Linked DNA regions of Drosophila melanogaster. The protein of the gene in region 2 interacts with the protein of the main gene of each other region in a pairwise test. Each region holds a gene or a part of one and is shown on either strand. Other genes may lie near its edges.

Region 1 (10,629 bases), on a different chromosome or scaffold from region 2:
TCACTTGACAAATGACTTCTTAAATGGCCATTTTAATTCATCCATTTGACGGCCAGATCACATTTCTAATCACATCGTGCAAAAGCCACGTAGAATAGAACATTTATTTAGGGAAGAACCCTTCACCTTTGCATATAATTTTTTTATGAACAGTTGGAGAAGGGTTGGAGGAAACTGTGCATTGGGTCTTTAAACAAGTAAAGCGCTAAAAATAAAACAACCTACACATTTAGCTATCATTGCTTTACAAATTCCATTACCCTAATCCGAAACCGACTGTTAACTTTTTTCAAGACCTCATTACCAAATGGAATACTTTAAGCCAGTACTGAAAGTTTGTTACGATTAATTACTAACTGAAATACTCGTACATCTCGACGCCGGCTGAAATTTATTGACAGTCTGAAAAACGAAATCTTAGTTCAAAGTTAACAAATGCATCTATGACTCAGTTAATAATTTGATCGAACTTACTTAATATAATTGATAGTATTTAATGTTGAACTCCGAATATCAAGTCCACGTCTGGTTGCTCTAGAGCAGCTAGATGGCCTTTACTGTTGGCTAACCAAGATGGCCCACAGCTACCGACTGCAACCGATAATCGCTGAAACTTGCAGTGAGTCAAATTGCATAACAAACATAATTTTAATTAAATCAACAACTTGGTCGGCAACACACTATATCATAATTGCCACGCGCCACCCACAAAAGCGCACTTGGCCAAGTTTAATTAAAATGTCAGAATCGTTGTACACGTAAATTGTAATTGCATTTTTTTGGTTTGCTCGCTGAGGTAATAATTACACACAACACATCGGCAGTATGCTCAAAAGCTGTTTAGGCAAAATTAAACGAATTTGCATATTCAATTGAACCGAACACATAGGCTCGGCAATGAATAACGCATGGATGAGCTTATTTCTGCAATTAAAAGTTGTCAATTAGTTTAAAGTGCAGCTGGTAAAAATTCCATTGTCGACTAACATCTACATATTTGAAAATGCTGCTAAAAGAACACACATTACGAAAAGAATTAGATACGAAACACCTCCATTATTAGCACCCAACTTCTTCTGGCATTGTATTTTGTTTTATTCCGTATCAAATTGTAAATTATTTGTATATAGAGTATTTATGTATGTATATGTATATAGTCTTCATTTTACAATGGTTGTGAATTACAAAATCGGTAGGTGTTTAATGACGCTGCTCTCGCCCTCGGTTCTCTAACAAAACTAATGAAAGTAAAATCAAATGAAAGAAAAGAAAAGTAAACAAATTTTTATAAAAATAGTTTCGATGGTTTCTTACTTTCTTTCTGATTTTGTTGCATTTATTGTTACTCTTATTATTTCAAAATACAGCTTATCATTAGTTTGAACAATAAAATTTTGATTACGAAAACGAATTAAGTCCGATGACCCCCATCACTTTCTTACTAAATTCGCTATGTTTGACACGACAATTTGCAGGGAAATGTGACTGATTAAGGGGGCCTCAGCTAGGATGAACAGTATCGATTCTATCAGCTATTGTCATGAAAACTTCCGGGACGTACAAATATACAGACGTTACAGAAAGGAGCTCGTACAAATTTGGTAGGTAGGTGTTAACTCTTAAGTGATTGAGGTTTAGTCTATGATTTGCCTTTGTTAAATTTACAACAATTTCATACTTGCGTAACAACAAGCCGATCAAAGGGCCGAGTACCTGCCCTTCGCTCTGCTTGATTTTGGGCGCAAAATGTAGGTAGTTCGTTAGGTTTTTTATATATTTTTGGCAGGATGTAGTTTTATGTTATGTTTTATACGTTAAGCGTCCAGGTCTGCTCGGTTATGCTCGCTTAAGTTCGATTAGATGATTTAGCTCGGCATTCTCTAACCCTATCTGTGCCACACCCGCACTCAACTGATTTCGCTAATATTAAATTATAAAAAATAAATAATCGAAACCATAATGGTAATAGACAATAAGTTCTTTTTCAATTCGTCCTCAGCGCGCTTTGTTGCAATAGAGAAATTAAGCGTAGCTACGAGCTTCTACAAGCAGTTCTCTGTCTCTCCTCCAATCCATTCCGCCCATTTTTATCAGTTCAGTCCTCGTTTCATTGCTAGACCTAGTCCTCGTCCTTTGACGTTCCGGCTGATGTGGACGCGTGGTCGTTGGCACTTTCACTGGCTTTGCCGTCAGACGTGGCTGCTCCCGCTGAAGCCGGCGCAGCATCGCTTCCATTCTTGTTGCGGGCGTCCTCCTTGGCCTCCAGAGCGCGGATGCGGTTCTCTTGCTTGACGATGATCGCCTTAAGTTTGCGGATCTCGTCTTGTATGGTGCGCAGGTCCTTTTCCTTTTGAAGTGAACCAATAAGTTAATCATACAACCGCTGAAGGAGTGCAAGTACTCACCGATAAAACCGCTGCAGGCGGTCCACCTTCGCTAGCCTCATTGTTATTTCCGGACGCAAAGTTGCCGCCGCCCGCGCTGCTGCTCGTTGCACCGGAGCTAGCGCTGTCGCCTCTAGGCTTGTTCAGGATGTTGCCCGCCTTCTTCGCTGGTAGCGATTTGTTTACCGACGAGGACACGTAGCCACCCTGTACAATGGAAACGCGATCCTGATTAGGCGGGTAAGAAAATCTGTTCGTTTCAGAACACAACAAACAACAATGAACACAACGACAAGCGCCACGCGCATTCGCGTGCGTGTTAGGGCCAAGTGTGCATTTATGCGGCGTGTTACTGTATCCAATAGGAGACTTTAATAAGTTAGCTAACATTTAGAATACTAAACCATTTTAGATCATTGTGAATACTCTTTATTCCGGTCGTCACTAAAACATTCTTAAGATGCCTCGTCTCAAGTGACATTGTACAACGGAGAACGAGGACTGTAGTCTGTGTATTGGAGTGGAATGTGGCTGGGCGGACAAGGCACAAACGTAGATAACGCAGAAAAAACGTAAGTAAAGCAAGCGCAGGCATCACACGCTGGTAGGTAGCCACCGGCAAATGCTGGGAGTAAGCTTTAAACGGAACTCACAAGTAGCTCACTTGGAGTCCTTGTGCTAGCAGACAAAAGCAACTGCAAAAGCCGTTGGAATACATTGTAGAAGGGGCGTCCACAGTGGCAGCGACTGCCTCATCGACTTCGAGCCGCATTGCCATCTGTGGACAAGCCCCGCTGGCGCACATGCTGATATATATCCTATATCTTGTACGCTCTTATCGCCGGCGGAATGGTTGGCAGTGTGGCCGAACCGTTGCCGCATTCGGCGGCGAGCGCTGTATTCGCAACACGGAATAAAAGTCTGAGCTGCTTCTGCACCTTAGCCACTTACTTTGAGCGAAAATGTGATCGGATCCGCATCCTTGCCATCGATCCACTCCTCCGCGGTGATGGCAGCGTCTTCCGCTAGCGTATCGGGGTAGAGATCCTCCTGGAAAAGATCCGATTTGCGCGGCACAGTCATCGAGATGACCTGACACAGACCGTTGTTGTTCATGCGATAGAACTTGGCGACCTCGCAGGTGGTCACATCACAGCCTCGCTTGGGCATCAGACCAATACCACGCTGCGGCTCTGTAGTCTGAAACGTGTTTATGTAGTGCACAAAAGGAGGTTCGGGCGTTACCTGTTCGATGAGATTTTGGTTAGATAATATTCATATGTAATATTGTAGATTTACTTGTACTAACCTCGAAATACCGAATGACCGAGTCACCTTTTCCACACAAGTAGATCATGTTCGTGTCTGCGTCGTAAAGAGGGAACATTACGCCGTTGGACGTGTCCAGCTCCACCATGACAATGGGTTCGTTAAGGGCATCCGGTGCGCGCAGGGAGTACTGACGCTCCGAGCTACGGTTGAAGCCTGTGGTGAAGATCAGACCGTGACGTAGGAAAATGGCCCTCGTGGCCTTGGAGCCCTCATGACACATGGCTTCGCTCTCCAGCTCGGCAGTGCGCGGATCGTAGATGCGGATCTTTTTATCCTTGCAGGTGGTAACCAACTTAGAGCCATCCCAGTTGAAGCAGGCGCTGTAAACGATGTCCGGATGGGAGTCGATGTGCACGAGGATTTCACCAGTGCCCACGTTCCAAATCACGACCTTCGCAATACAGAGAGTATAAGCATGGGCTTCTGAAGAAGTGTTAGCATTCGCTCACCTGGTTATCGGAGCCGGCGGTAAGCAGCACGTTGAGCGCAGAGGGATGCCACAACACCAGACCCACGCGACGCTGGTGGAAAACCAGGTCGACCACGGGTTCGGTGAGTGTTCGCGACAGCCCGCCATCGGGGATCTGCCACACTTTGACCACACAGTCCTCTGAGCCGGAGGCGATCACGTTGTCGTTGTGGGGGCACCAGGCGATGTCCAGCACAGGACCCTTGTGACCGCCCACCAAAGGGTGGTCAGCCGCAATGCGACCAACCTGAAAGAGTCCATTAAATTTCAATTAGCTCGATACGCCACAGTAAATTTTTATAATTGATGGCGACTAAGTCATGAGCAGCAACCATTGCAAAACTGCAACCTCGCGACCCATTAGCCCAATTCCTGAATTATTATTTATAGCCGACTCCGACTGCACTCGGTTCTGCTATGTTCGCTAATCTGCCAAGCAGGCAATTTATAATTGTAAACTTCATGCCAATTGCTTCCGAATATGGCCCTAGAATTATAGAAAATTGGAATGCCGAATAGCTCCCATCGAAATCTATATATTTCGAAGCATATTATAACAAATAGTAATGGTAAACTATTTCAAATTTAACATTGTTATATATTATTAGATAATATTCTTTGTTCATCGCTTTCAATAAATGTATTAAAATGTATCATTCCAAAAAGTTTCTCGAATGAGTTCCATGAGTGTAAATCTATTTTGGTTTTTTCAAGAACTTGTGCTTGTTCTTGCCTACACTTGCCACATGCGGCCAACCTTGGCGACTAGATGGATCTCACTCATCATCCAGTGCCCATAAAATAAGTAAAATAGGGCGTGTGAAAGCCGCTCCACATAGAAATCATCACTTAAAAAAGCGGCAACTGCTTAGAGTGAAAAAAACGATCGCTTGCCGCGCGTTTTGCATACAAATTTTTGTTTCAAATGGAACGACCATCGGTGTACTTCCATATATGTTTTCATCAAAAGAGGAGCATCGGAAGATTAGGGGAATGGGTGCTTCTGCTGCCCACACTATTTGCTGGAGCTGCGCGCAAAACTACAACTAAACAGAAGCCCGAATAGCTGAATCTGGGGCAGGACGGCCAAAAGATTTTGAGATTGAAAATGCAATTTAGTGGAATACAAACAATTAGTTTTTAGCGGAATAAGTCGCCGAGCTGAGTGTGCATTTCGATGCAATGATTCGCCCGAATATCATTTTTGTATTCATTTAACTGGCTGCTCCTCTGCCTCTCTCTAAAATTAGACGATTTGTTTGTCATGTTGGCTAGTGGCCAAATTACAAAAGTGCGCCAGCTAGCAGTATCGCTGCCGCGGTAGTAGCAGAATCTATAACTATTTATAAACACATGTGAGATTGGGTGGAGTCATGCGAAATCCGTCGACGTCACTCGCGACGTGGCAACAAGCCCGCAAATGGCCGCAAACTTTATGCCAAAAGGGCGCTATAAATAGTTGCCCATTGTCTTGTTTAAAAATACCCCACCAAGCTGGCCGCGTCGGGGCAGACGCACGTAGACGAGTGCAACTATAATAGGTCCGGTGGCGCACTCACTTTGTTGTGTGGCAGGACGATGAAGGCTCCGCCGCCCGCCGACTCTACGATAATGGCCAGGAACTTGGGATTCACCGCGCAGAATGTGGAGTCCCAGCTGGACTTGGATACCCGTATGTTGTCGTAGCACTGCTCCCGCTTGAGAGCCTGTCCGTAGACGTGGCGGAACTTGGAGCTGCGCACTACGCGAAATGACATCTTGATGCTGCAGTGGCTTGGGTCAGCGATCAGTCCTGAGCTTCTCTACGTCTAGCTCTGAAAAGAAATGAGACGTACGAAGGATAGTTAGCAATGTAGGGGAATTTCTTACGCGTTTGGTATTTTCCACCCTTTGCCCTTAATAACAAGTCTTCAAGCGAAATCGTTTAGCCGTATTCTTTCCGCACCTGAATGAGATATGAAACCCCTACTTTTTGGCAGAGATTTGAACACTCATTTGATAGGTTTTGTTTTCTACACAGTTCTGTGAAACCTGAAAATCGTGATCTTAGCCTTATCCGAGTTCTGAGCGACGCATAAACCGACCGAATAGCAATGTTATTCGCTTTCAGCTTCGCTCACTTATGTGTTAGCTTAACGCGTTTTTCTTTCACCGCGCTTCGCAGCCTCGATTAGTTCAATAAATTTGCATATGCTAATTTCGCTTGTTGCGAAAATCAATGAGCTTTCCATTCGCAGCTTGCTATTGACGCGCTGACTTTGTCCGCGAGAGGTTGCATCAAATTGCTTATGGCATCACTAATGTTGGCGACTGAAAGCGCCGGAAACGGCGGGAGGCGCCTAGAACGCTTTCACCTGCCACTTGGCAACTGCCACATTCGGGTCCACTTTCGTTAATGAAGCGCCAGCCGGAACGTGTCGAACTATCAGTTTTCCATACCCCTTTCTTTCAGGATGACATCATAACGCCAAAATAGCCACTCCAGCAATGAGTAGCCTTCCAACACGTAAGTTATGGCTGAGCAAACCGATCCCGCAGGCCAACCTAAGCCCAAACATATACCTAACACTCCGGGAGACTTCTAGATAGCTACGTGTTTGAAGCAGAATTCATTTCTGGGTTGGGCCGAGCCCGGCAGGCTTCCACTCCGAACAGCTTTCGTTTTTAATCAGAGAAGTGCCATAAAATTATTTGCCTCTTTTGCCTCGTTGCTTCGTTTTGTTTTGCTCAAAGATATTCATATTTATTGCAAGCACTAAACTTTGTCATTGACCCCTTTAAACTGGCCCCAAAGCAGACCCCAGAATTGATTACTTTCTACGCTGTCTGTTTTTGGCCACAAGGTGAGCCCCGGAGGGCTTTGTTCTTGGGTGGGTGTGGGTATCGACATGGCCTCTCCACTGATAAGGAAATATCAGCTCGGAGTTGGCTAAACACCACAGAGATAATGTTAAGTGCTACGCCTATGTAGTCCAAAACGACGCCGAAATGTTTGCCACCAACTGGAAAATACTCCTAAGCACTGTACCCGGAATATATCTATCTATATATATATATATATATCTGCGGCGTGTGTATGCGTTGTTATTTATGTGTTTATATGCCAAACACCTTCGTTTGCAGGCGGGAAAATTTTTGTTTCGCGGCTGAAGGTCAAACTTATTAATAGAAAATTAAATCATCTTAGGCGAAATGAAATTTTCATATACAAACACAGTGCACGATGCTCAAAGCAGCGTTGTAAATCGCATTTGATGTGTTTATTTATTTCGTTGGCATCGCTGGCACCTGCCATGCCTGAGTTATCATAGTCGAGCCACCCCCATCCACTCCCACTTCCCCGATCGATCATAATTGCATTCGCAATTCCGCTCGCAATGGCCAAAAAAGTGGCCTCTTCTGCGCTTAATCAACTTGACCGTCGGTGGTTTTATCAGCGGACCACTCAGCGATTAACGGAAGTGTGGGTTCAAGAAAATCGCTGAAGAAATGAAAATCTTTGAAGAACTCATTCCCGACGCCCATTACCCGGGTGGTGTGATTGAATACCCAGCATCACATTGCATTCCATTCTTTACAGTGGGCCCCAAATGTAAGGCTGTTTCTGAAGATATTCGAAAGGAAATTAAGTCAAAGGTTCAAATTAGTACCGGATCTTCAAAACTCACATTAGATGGAAGTCCACAATCTACCTAGTTATTGTGTTTAAGTCTAGTATTATATTTATTCACAATAGATGTCAAAGGTGCGAGCGTCACTAGTTTCTCAAATTGTTCAACAGTGTTTTTCTTTTCTTCTAAAAACTCGCTTGAGTACATTCGGAAATTACCTATAACCTGCGATTCTGATCAGGAATATATTCTTCATAGGGTCGGAATCGTTGCAACGTTTTCGACGAATCAGAATAAACTTCTCTATAAATGAAAGGTATGTATACCTTAATAACAATGAAATGGGGTTAAATAACATAATGATTTTGATAGTATAATTAGAATTAATAGAATTCCGTTTGAAAAAGGTCTTGAAAAAGGTCCTGAGTCAGATTTTGGTTCTAGGAGGCGTCTCTGCCAGAATTAGAAACAGGCTGTTGCTGAATCATTATTGAAAAGTAACCAACTAATCCGCACGCCACTTAACCAGCGGGTGTCAACCAACTTTCAGCAGCGACTGTCTTGTAATCGCGTTAACCATTTGACAATGGGGCTGTTGTGGGGCCCTCCAGCAATTTGTGTTGAAATCGCGAGAGATGCAACCGTCGCTGAATTGATGCGAATGCGATGGTCCAGCGATCGGGGACTGGCCGAGAATTGACTTAATGCTTGATTGCAAATCTTGCCGCTTTGTCGACACGTTGTGTTCACCGGCCACTTCCGTTATAATGACATCTCTATTCCCCAAGTACACTCGAAAAAGAATCTATTAAATGTGTAGGACCACATGCCATCATGGTTTCCGGATTAAAGTAGCTACAACTGATAGTTCAAACTTTTCCTAAAGCATAGGGCACAAAACCATTCTTGTATAGACAAAACTGTTATTAATAAATATGTATTAAACATACTCCGCTTAACTCATGTGTAGAGTTATTGGATATGGAGTTTTGTAAACTCAAGTGCTTCCCTTTAACGTGTCACCACAATTACATAGAGGCAGGTGGTTTAAAACAAAATTAATACTATATAATTATGGATTAAAACTTTGTCTTGATACGTGAAGATATCAGACCAGTTGTAGCTCAGTCAGGTGTTATCAATACGGCATCATACATTGTATACATATATGTTTGCGTTGCGCGGCTTGGTTTTGATTAACTCGTGGTATCTTTTCTTCCTGTGCACAGCTGCAGCGACACCTAATCAGCTGGCCAATGATCAATGCCACATGCATGAGTCACCCCTGATAAGGGGCCCGCTGTTTATCGGCTGTCGGCTGCACTGGAAACTTTCGCCGTTCGCCTCATCTCGACTGGATGGTGAGGTTGATGGCGATGATGATGATGATGATGTCATTGATGCAGGCGCAACGTCATTGGTTGTGCAGCTCATATACATGCACATACACACACAGGCGTGTGTGTGTTGAAGGTTCATCAAACTGATTGCAGAGTGTGCGTGCCTGACGGCGATTAGCCAAAGTTTTTGACAAAAAGCGCGCAAGTGTCGCGGCAGACTCACTGGCTTGCAGCACAGTGGGTGTCGTCGCTGTACGAGTGAAAGTGGAACTCTGCTGCTAAAATTAACCCCATGCATATGCAGTGCCCCACCCGACACCCATCACGTCCCCTCGCCATCACAAGTGGCGCTGGCTTTTGTTGCTGTCTTAATTGCCGCTCGTTCTTTTTCTCCCCAGCTCCCCCCACTGTGACCGCCATCCGTTTGTTTCTATTTTTCCATTTGCGCTTAGTCAGACCGGGCGGCAATTGTGAATGCCTGTGCACCCTAGAAATTCAAAGTACATGGATTTTTTTGAGACCGAATGGGCGAATAAAAGTACCTTTCCCTTTTAAGAATTACACATTCGATGCCTAACTATAGCCCTGAACGCGTATTCCAGGTAAAACGATGTCTACCTGATTAATGTGAAACGTGAAGCACTGAGAAAAAATTATCCCGGGATTTTAGAAAATCACCTTTTATTCTCAAACGCTATAAAGACGAGCAATTGAACAAAGAAGACTTTTCTTACGTCTAGAGATATCCATGTAATATTCATTTTAGAAAAGTTAAATCAATGGTTTTAGAAAAGCTTTCAAGAAAATTTTTTTTCTTTATATGTATGTTGCCATTACAAGAAAAAGAAAAATCCGTAACTAATGTACACTGATGCTTAAATGGGTGGAGATATTTTGAATCAATGACGGTTTCCTAAAATCAAGGTTAATTTTATTCTAGGTGTAGTCAAGTAAAAGTTAATTTATCCAGATATGGCTTAGAAATAATAGATAAATCACCCTATGTAGGTTTTGTAGATTAAATTCTAAATTAAGGTTTTGGGCTTTCTTAAGCATTATTAGCGATCTATATTTTTCGGTTCCAAGTCTATGATGATGATAATTTCTTAATTTAATATTAGTGGGTGGACTGTAAAACTCCAACTTCAGATGTTCCTTCTATCCAAAAGGGTATTCAAGCAGTGGCTTCCCAAAATTACGTGCTTCCTAGTTCTTTTCGGAGGTATTGCCGCCAATTGGCGTGTCCATTGCCAGTCTAACTGGCGTTCATACGTGCGCCTGTTTTGCGATCGTCGAACAGCTGTTGTTCGCCGAGTAATCGCGACATTGGCTGACGCATAAACGCGATCGGCGTTTGGACTCGAATGTGTATGTGTGTGTGCTTCATTCCAGTGCATTTCTCATATTTTTGTCACTAATTGGTGTTGGCTAAGTTTCGCTTCTTAACCCATTTGGGGAGCAACCGAAATAGCTGTGCGTGTGGGCGTATGCTG
Region 2 (6,521 bases):
GCGAAAGCCACATATTGTCTTTAATGGAACGTATCCCATTGATATGCCACTGACCCAGGGGCAGAGTCAACTCAAAAGCAACTCGTATGATCCGGAGGCCAATGCAGATCGTGGGGATCTACAGCGCTATAGGAACTACATGCTCCACGATTATGTTATAGATGAGGATGCCGAGGGCGAGGAGCAGGCCGAAGAAGAGGGCGAGGAGGATGAGTATGGAGATGGTGATGAGGATTTATTCCCCTATGCCGACGACGATGAGAGCTTCGATGATGGCGATTACTATACGCATCAACTGCTCAATAAGTATGGGATTATACCAAGCGGTGAGAAACAGAGAGTCGAGAGAACACCGGCATCCGTGGAGGCAGCTACCTCCGCGGCCCAGCCACAGCACGTGTGGTCCATGAAGGAGCTGATAGCCAATCCAGCCATACCACTTAACTACAAGAAAATGTGCTCCGAAGTGGAGCAGAGCCTCAGTCGATTCGAGAATTATTTGGACAGCAAAAAGGAGCAACAGGTGCCACCGGGAGCCGCAGTGCGCACCTTCGACATCGATGCACCCACTCGAAGAGGCCACCGAAGCAGCACATCCACAAATGCTGGCTTGGATCTTAGATCTAAGAAGAAATTGTAAACAAACTGACTGCAGTTTGCTGTTTTAGACTTAGTAATACCCACAAATGATCAGTCAGTATTTACAAATTCAATGAGTTAGGTAACAAGAAAATAAGGATGAGCAAGTGCATCGCTGCTTTTTTGGGAGCTTTCTGTACTGTACCTGGAGCTTGTCTTAGCCTGTTAGCTTGTAAATCTATAACTAGTCTTAATGCGTCCCTAAGCAATATGTTATCACTAAGCCTTATATACGATAATTGTGAGCCAGATTTTTTGACTGCGCCAGTTACTTTGAAACGTTTCCGTTGTTCATTCGATTTAACTAACCCATAACTACTCTGTTACTAACCAACCCAAAACACTCTTACCTATAATCTATGACTTATGAATAATTCGTTTGCATCACGCAGAAGACTAATTCGTTGCCATTTCTTAACTCCAACCTCAATTTTGCAATCCGCACAACAGCTGCAGCAACAGACGCGCCCGGCGATATCCATGCCCAAGTCAAAGAGCTACGGAGATGAGGACGATGGTGGTTCCGGTGGTGTGGCTGATCCTGGTCAGAAAACCAAGCCTGTAGGCTCCTCTGAGGCTGCAGGCAAACAGCAGGCGTCGGGCAAACAGGCCAACTCCGGCAGCGATCTTGGGTGAGTCCAAAATCGAATTCCAATCAAATTGGGTGTGGTGAGAAGTACAATTCAAGGAAAACAAATTAATCAAAAGCGGGAGACAAACTTCTAAATAGTATATATCATTTTGAACACAGCGCACCTGGGAATAAAAATGCGGGCTGGTTTGGCGGACTCTGGAACAAGTTGTCGCTAAAGCCGAAGAACCAAATGATCCTGCCGGATGACAAGAATCCGGCCATCGTCTGGGACAAGGAGCGCAAATGCTGGACAAACACCGAAGGCAACGGCGACGAGGCTGAAAGCTTTAAGCCGCCACCCAAAATGAGTGATCTGGGCATGGCTCTGGGAGGACCACCCGCTGCGCCAATCGGTAATGCCGGATTGGGAATGGGTTTAATGCCTGTGGCTAACAATGCGCCGGGCAGCCATCAATCAGCACCGTTGATGGATCAGCAAACGCCGTCTCAGCCGCAAACGTATGGCAGCCCCATTGATTACACGGCTGCTCCGGCACCCGAGCTGATTCCAACGGTACCATCGCCGGCTCCACTTTCTGTCCCGTCATCTGCACCGGCGGCATTAGCGGCGCCCAATCCCGCGGCCGTTCCCGGCGGACCGCAGCCCAAGCTGCAGTCGAACATGTTCAAGATGCAACGCAACCGCAGTAAGTCCGATATAAAGAAATTCAAAACTAATCGGTGTAGTTAGGAATCTGACCGACGAAGGAACTTATTCTTATTTTTCTTTCTCATTCTGCAGCGCTAAAGAACTCCTACGTGGATGTGTTCAATCCTTCGGGTGCGCCAATGTCGGCGGCACCGGAGAATGTGCTGGCCCCCATGATGGCGCCGGCTGCGGTGCCCCAAGGCGGTTACTTTGTACCCCAGCAGTAGGTAATCAGGGGAGGGACTGGCCGGAGCACTACTCCCGAGATATGGAGCATTTGACGGAGGAGGAGAGTGTGAGGGTGTGAAAAGGATTGCCCCAAATGCCAACGAGATGTGAGTTGAGACTGATGGATAGGTTGATAGGATGATGCCTGATTGATGGGGTTCCTCTCTTTTTTGCAGCAGCAGCACTTCGAAACTACGTAAAAAAGAAAGGCTTTTGCAACCGATGACCGCTCACACACACACACACGCACACACACACACTACAAACACACACAGTCATGCATTAAATTTACACACACATCCACACGAGAAAAGTCAACTTTCCAGCAGGGGAAAAGTTGGTCCTACGATATTTTCAAGATTCTACAGTTTGTTCAACTTCTGTCTGTCTGTGCTATCTTTGTGCGTGTCCTTCTACTAAATTAACTCACCCAATTTAATTGCAAAGAAAATAAAAACCTAATTTTACCAATTTGTGCGCATGTGTGCGTGTGTGTGTTTGTGTGCGATCGATGTCTTAACGTTTAGTAAATGATTTAATTGAGGGAACGATGAAGAAAGCGATTTATGTACGACTAGCGAATTATATATGTAAATTTTCTCTATGTAAACTATACGCCACCTTGATTCCTAAAAAATCCCTCAATCCCCCACCCTTTATATATCCACACACGACCTCTTCCCCGATTTCTGTTTATATACATGTTTCTTTTGTATGTTGCATAGTTTTTATGATTATTTTTTGTTTAGCTGTATGAATTTGTATTCGAAGGGAGGTCCAGACACTAATTCGGAATTCACTTTGAATATGCATTGCTGTATTTTCCACATCTAAATACTATATAACTGATCTATCTGTCTATATAACTACGAAAGCTGATATTCGATTGATTTAAGCGTTTAAGAAGCAAATGAATTGTTCTCCCTGGTTTCTCTTATCAATGTATTCTCCTCTGTGTTTCTTTTTTACAATTGGTGTGAAATATGCAAATGATTCCAATTATATATATATATAAATGTATCTTTAGAACAATTAAAATGGTTTATTCTGTTTTTTTTTTTACTATTCGTTTGAATTGAAAATGCATTTTGAAAATGTTTATTTGTTAGAACTTGTTTGTTTATGCTTTAATTTTAAATTTAAATAGTAAACAAAAAAAAAAAATAACTGGTGCAGGCAAAAAAAAAATATAAAGCAAAGAATAGGAAGAATGAAAGTAATATAATAAATTTATATAGGTATATACTGGCACACATATGTATTCTGTACAAATCGAAATGCTAATTGGTATATCAAAATTAAACTACAGATCCTTCAAATAGGGACAAACTGCTGTGCATTGACCACAAAACTCTGTACTCAAAATGTGTACACAAATTACGATTAATCCCAAGGCTCTGTAACTTGATTTTTCCAACTTCTTTATATATACTTATATTATGATGATCATGATTGATTGGTAATATGATGATGTTGATAATAATGGAACTAGATCGAAACGAAGTGTGGTATGAATTATTAATGTTTAATAAGCCTAAAATAAAAATCAAATCAAATGCGTATGAGAAAATACAGAACTTATGTAAAAATATAAAAGCTAATTGTTTTAATTACACGGGACCGTGTTTTGCTGGTGACCAATTCTGGGCAGGCAATAGTACTATAGTTCTTGGTTTCTACAGTACAACACTTTGTCTGTAGAGTGCCTCGAATTCTTCGTCGTCTTCAGTCTCACTAACATCTTCACCAGCAAATGCTGCAGCCAGTTTATAGTACACATCATGTGAATCATCTAAGTCCTCCGCAACTGCGTTGGAGGATGTTCCTGGTTTGGTTACAGGCACCTGCTCTTCGTGCTCTTCCTCGAATTCCTCACCTTGATAGATGAAAATGAATATATGAAATTGTCGATTTACACATGAAAACATACTGCTGTCGATGGCTTCATATCCTCCTGGTGGCTTCGGATCGTAGGTGACCAAAATGGTGGGAAACTCCACGATGGTTTTGCCGACTAGATTCTCGGCCAGCGTTTTGGTCGAGTCCAGGAGATAACACCTCGTAGAGCTGCGTCGCACGCCCTCGGCTCTAAGCCAAAAACTCAGCTGACCAATACCGGCAGTCTGATGGTTGGCCAGCAGTTTGCGTTGTTCCCGTGCCGTCTCGTGCCGCAGATCCACATACTTGGCTACCAGATCGGGCAGCGTGAGCTCCTCATTGCATTCCTTGTCCACAAATCGAGTTACATTCCGGGGAAGGCTTGCCTCGTATGGAATATTTGCAAACAGCCACTCTATACGCCAATGGAATCGTCCCAGTTTCCAGTTTAGATACGTGGTGTTCTCCTTGTGCCGACTGAAATTCTCCAGTTGCAAGCGCAGATTAATGTTACGCTTCTTGGCTGCCATCCGCATGCGATGTTGAGTCACTGGGAGATTCCTTTGGTCGTGGGTAAATCGCTTGCACGGATCGGATTTTCGATTCTCTGCATAGCGTGTGCACTCCTCCAAGAAGCAGTAGTCACTCATGAATTCCCGCGAGGTCATCTCGCTCAGCGGTACGAACTTGGTGCGATCCCGCTGGCCATCGCAGTTGAGCTCCTTCTTATGGATCTGGACGCAGGGCAGGCTGCATGTTTTCACCTCGCATTTGGGACATGCGTAGCAGGCCTCCTTTGCGGCGCACACCTCGCACATTCCCAGGCGCATAGTTCTGTGGATTCTCGTTAGTTATTAGATTACAAATAAAAACAATTGGGCAGTACCTGGTCTTAGTGCTGGTCTCATCGGCCATCGTCGTCTGTATTCATTTCAATTTCAGCTGAACCCACGTGTTGGCATTGTTTACATTCAATAGTGCTGACCATCTGATGCTGGCCTAGCTAAAAGTAGCTAAATGAAAAGGCTAAAAATATAGCTAACGTAAAGGTTATTTATTTTTAACAATGTTTAGTTTGTTTAGTATAGTTGTTTAGTTACATTTTTTTTGTTCAAAAGTGTTCATATTTGAATACTACGATTTAAATGTATAGAGTGTAACGCCATACGTTTGAGATTTTTCATTAGCTAGATTCGCCTCGAAAATTGCCACCTTGGCATGCATGTCGCTGAAACAGCTGTTCGCTGTACTCATGTTATTTTGTGTTGTTGTGCTCGCATGTTTTATGGTTTTGCTGTTACGTTGATTTCATTGCAACACAAATAGTGCGTTAATTAAACAGATTGCTAATCGAGTGAGTGCGAAATCACCTGGAAGTCAAAACAAGTTTTATTTGCTCATTCTAATGAACATAATAAGCAATGTTTATTTGCACAGCGTGTGGGTCGAAGGCTGCGTAGGTGTGTGCGCGATGTTTTTGTTATCGAGCTTGTATATCTATTTATCGCAAACGATAGCAACTCCCCGTTATACATTTTGTGGCGCAATATTTGAATACGCACATTTTGTAACTAGATGTTATCAGTTATTATAATTAGATGTGTTGTGCGTATAAAAAGTCTTATCGGTCAATTGCTCTAGCCTACAATTTACAAGCCACGCACACGCGCGCCTGTCGCATATGATCTACCCCAATTTTAACGCTGTTTCCGTGCCGATTAGATTTTGTTTATTTACCAGTTTTTTTTTTGTCATTAGATACCACCGCTCAATCACCTGTGAGTGAAAACTACGAGTGAGCCGAAGAGCCGTTCGTCGGAGGTCTACGATTCCGGCTCTATTGATATGGCTGCTTGTCTGTTGCGCTACTTAGTTCGACAGAGTCGCAAGCCCAGATCACTGGTCGTCAGTAGAGAGAGCTCCCACTGTAGTAGAATGAGCACCTACAGTACGGTGACCAACCTCAGTACAGTGAAAATGCAGCGCATCCAGCACCTGGCGGCATTCCGATCGGGTGTTAGCCTGGCGGAACGCGTACTTAATCCACCACAGCAGAGTATTAATGGAAATCATGTCTCGGGCAATATCCAATGCAGCAGCGATAACAATAACAAGGATACAAATGCAGCCTTTGAGGTAAATCTAAAACAATTCCCAAGTCCCAAGTTGGAAACCAACAGATACAATTTTTAATTACTTTGTCATAGTTTTATTACCTATTACTTATTAATATCATACCTTTGATTTCACAATCGTAGCATTATCTTTTCGATTTCAAAAATGAGATTATTCTAAATCTAAATAATAAAAACCATTCATGTGTTTTCAGAATTATGTGTGTGATTAATATGAAATTTGGTATTACAGTAGCAAATGTTTCATCTTCAGTGTGAAATGTTTCTATATGTCATGCTGACCCAGCTAAATACCAAATTCGTTTGTTATTAATTAATTAATTTCCTACCGTTTTCAGTTGGCCATTAAGCAGTTAAA

Evidence for each region. Proteins that work in one complex are often made in the same cells at the same time.
Region 1: the proteins of CG1463 (region 2) and coro interact in a two-hybrid assay, tested with the Drosophila melanogaster proteins (one large-scale study listed by BioGRID).

The regions. Positions count from the first base shown.
Region 1 is NT_033778.4:6,860,943-6,871,571, forward strand, and holds coro (coronin), read right to left. Parts: upstream 6,854-10,629; 5' UTR 6,625-6,853; intron 6,583-6,624; exon of another isoform or gene 6,540-6,582; intron 6,199-6,539; exon of another isoform or gene 6,055-6,198; intron 6,000-6,054; 5' UTR 5,943-5,999; coding exon 5,745-5,942; intron 4,943-5,744; coding exon of another isoform or gene 4,925-4,942; intron 4,433-4,924; coding exon 4,166-4,432; intron 4,108-4,165; coding exon 3,694-4,107; intron 3,630-3,693; coding exon 3,336-3,629; intron 2,613-3,335; coding exon 2,406-2,612; intron 2,348-2,405; coding exon 2,120-2,347; 3' UTR 1,318-2,119; downstream 1-1,317.
Region 2 is NC_004354.4:12,606,609-12,613,129, forward strand, and holds CG1463 (uncharacterized protein), read right to left. Parts: upstream 5,001-6,521; 5' UTR 4,944-5,000; coding exon 4,915-4,943; intron 4,863-4,914; coding exon 4,081-4,862; intron 4,027-4,080; coding exon 3,827-4,026; 3' UTR 3,369-3,826; downstream 1-3,368. Other genes in the region: Sec16 (secretory 16), read left to right, coding at 1-640; Fpgs1 (folylpolyglutamate synthase 1), read left to right, coding at 5,874-6,164, 6,502-6,521.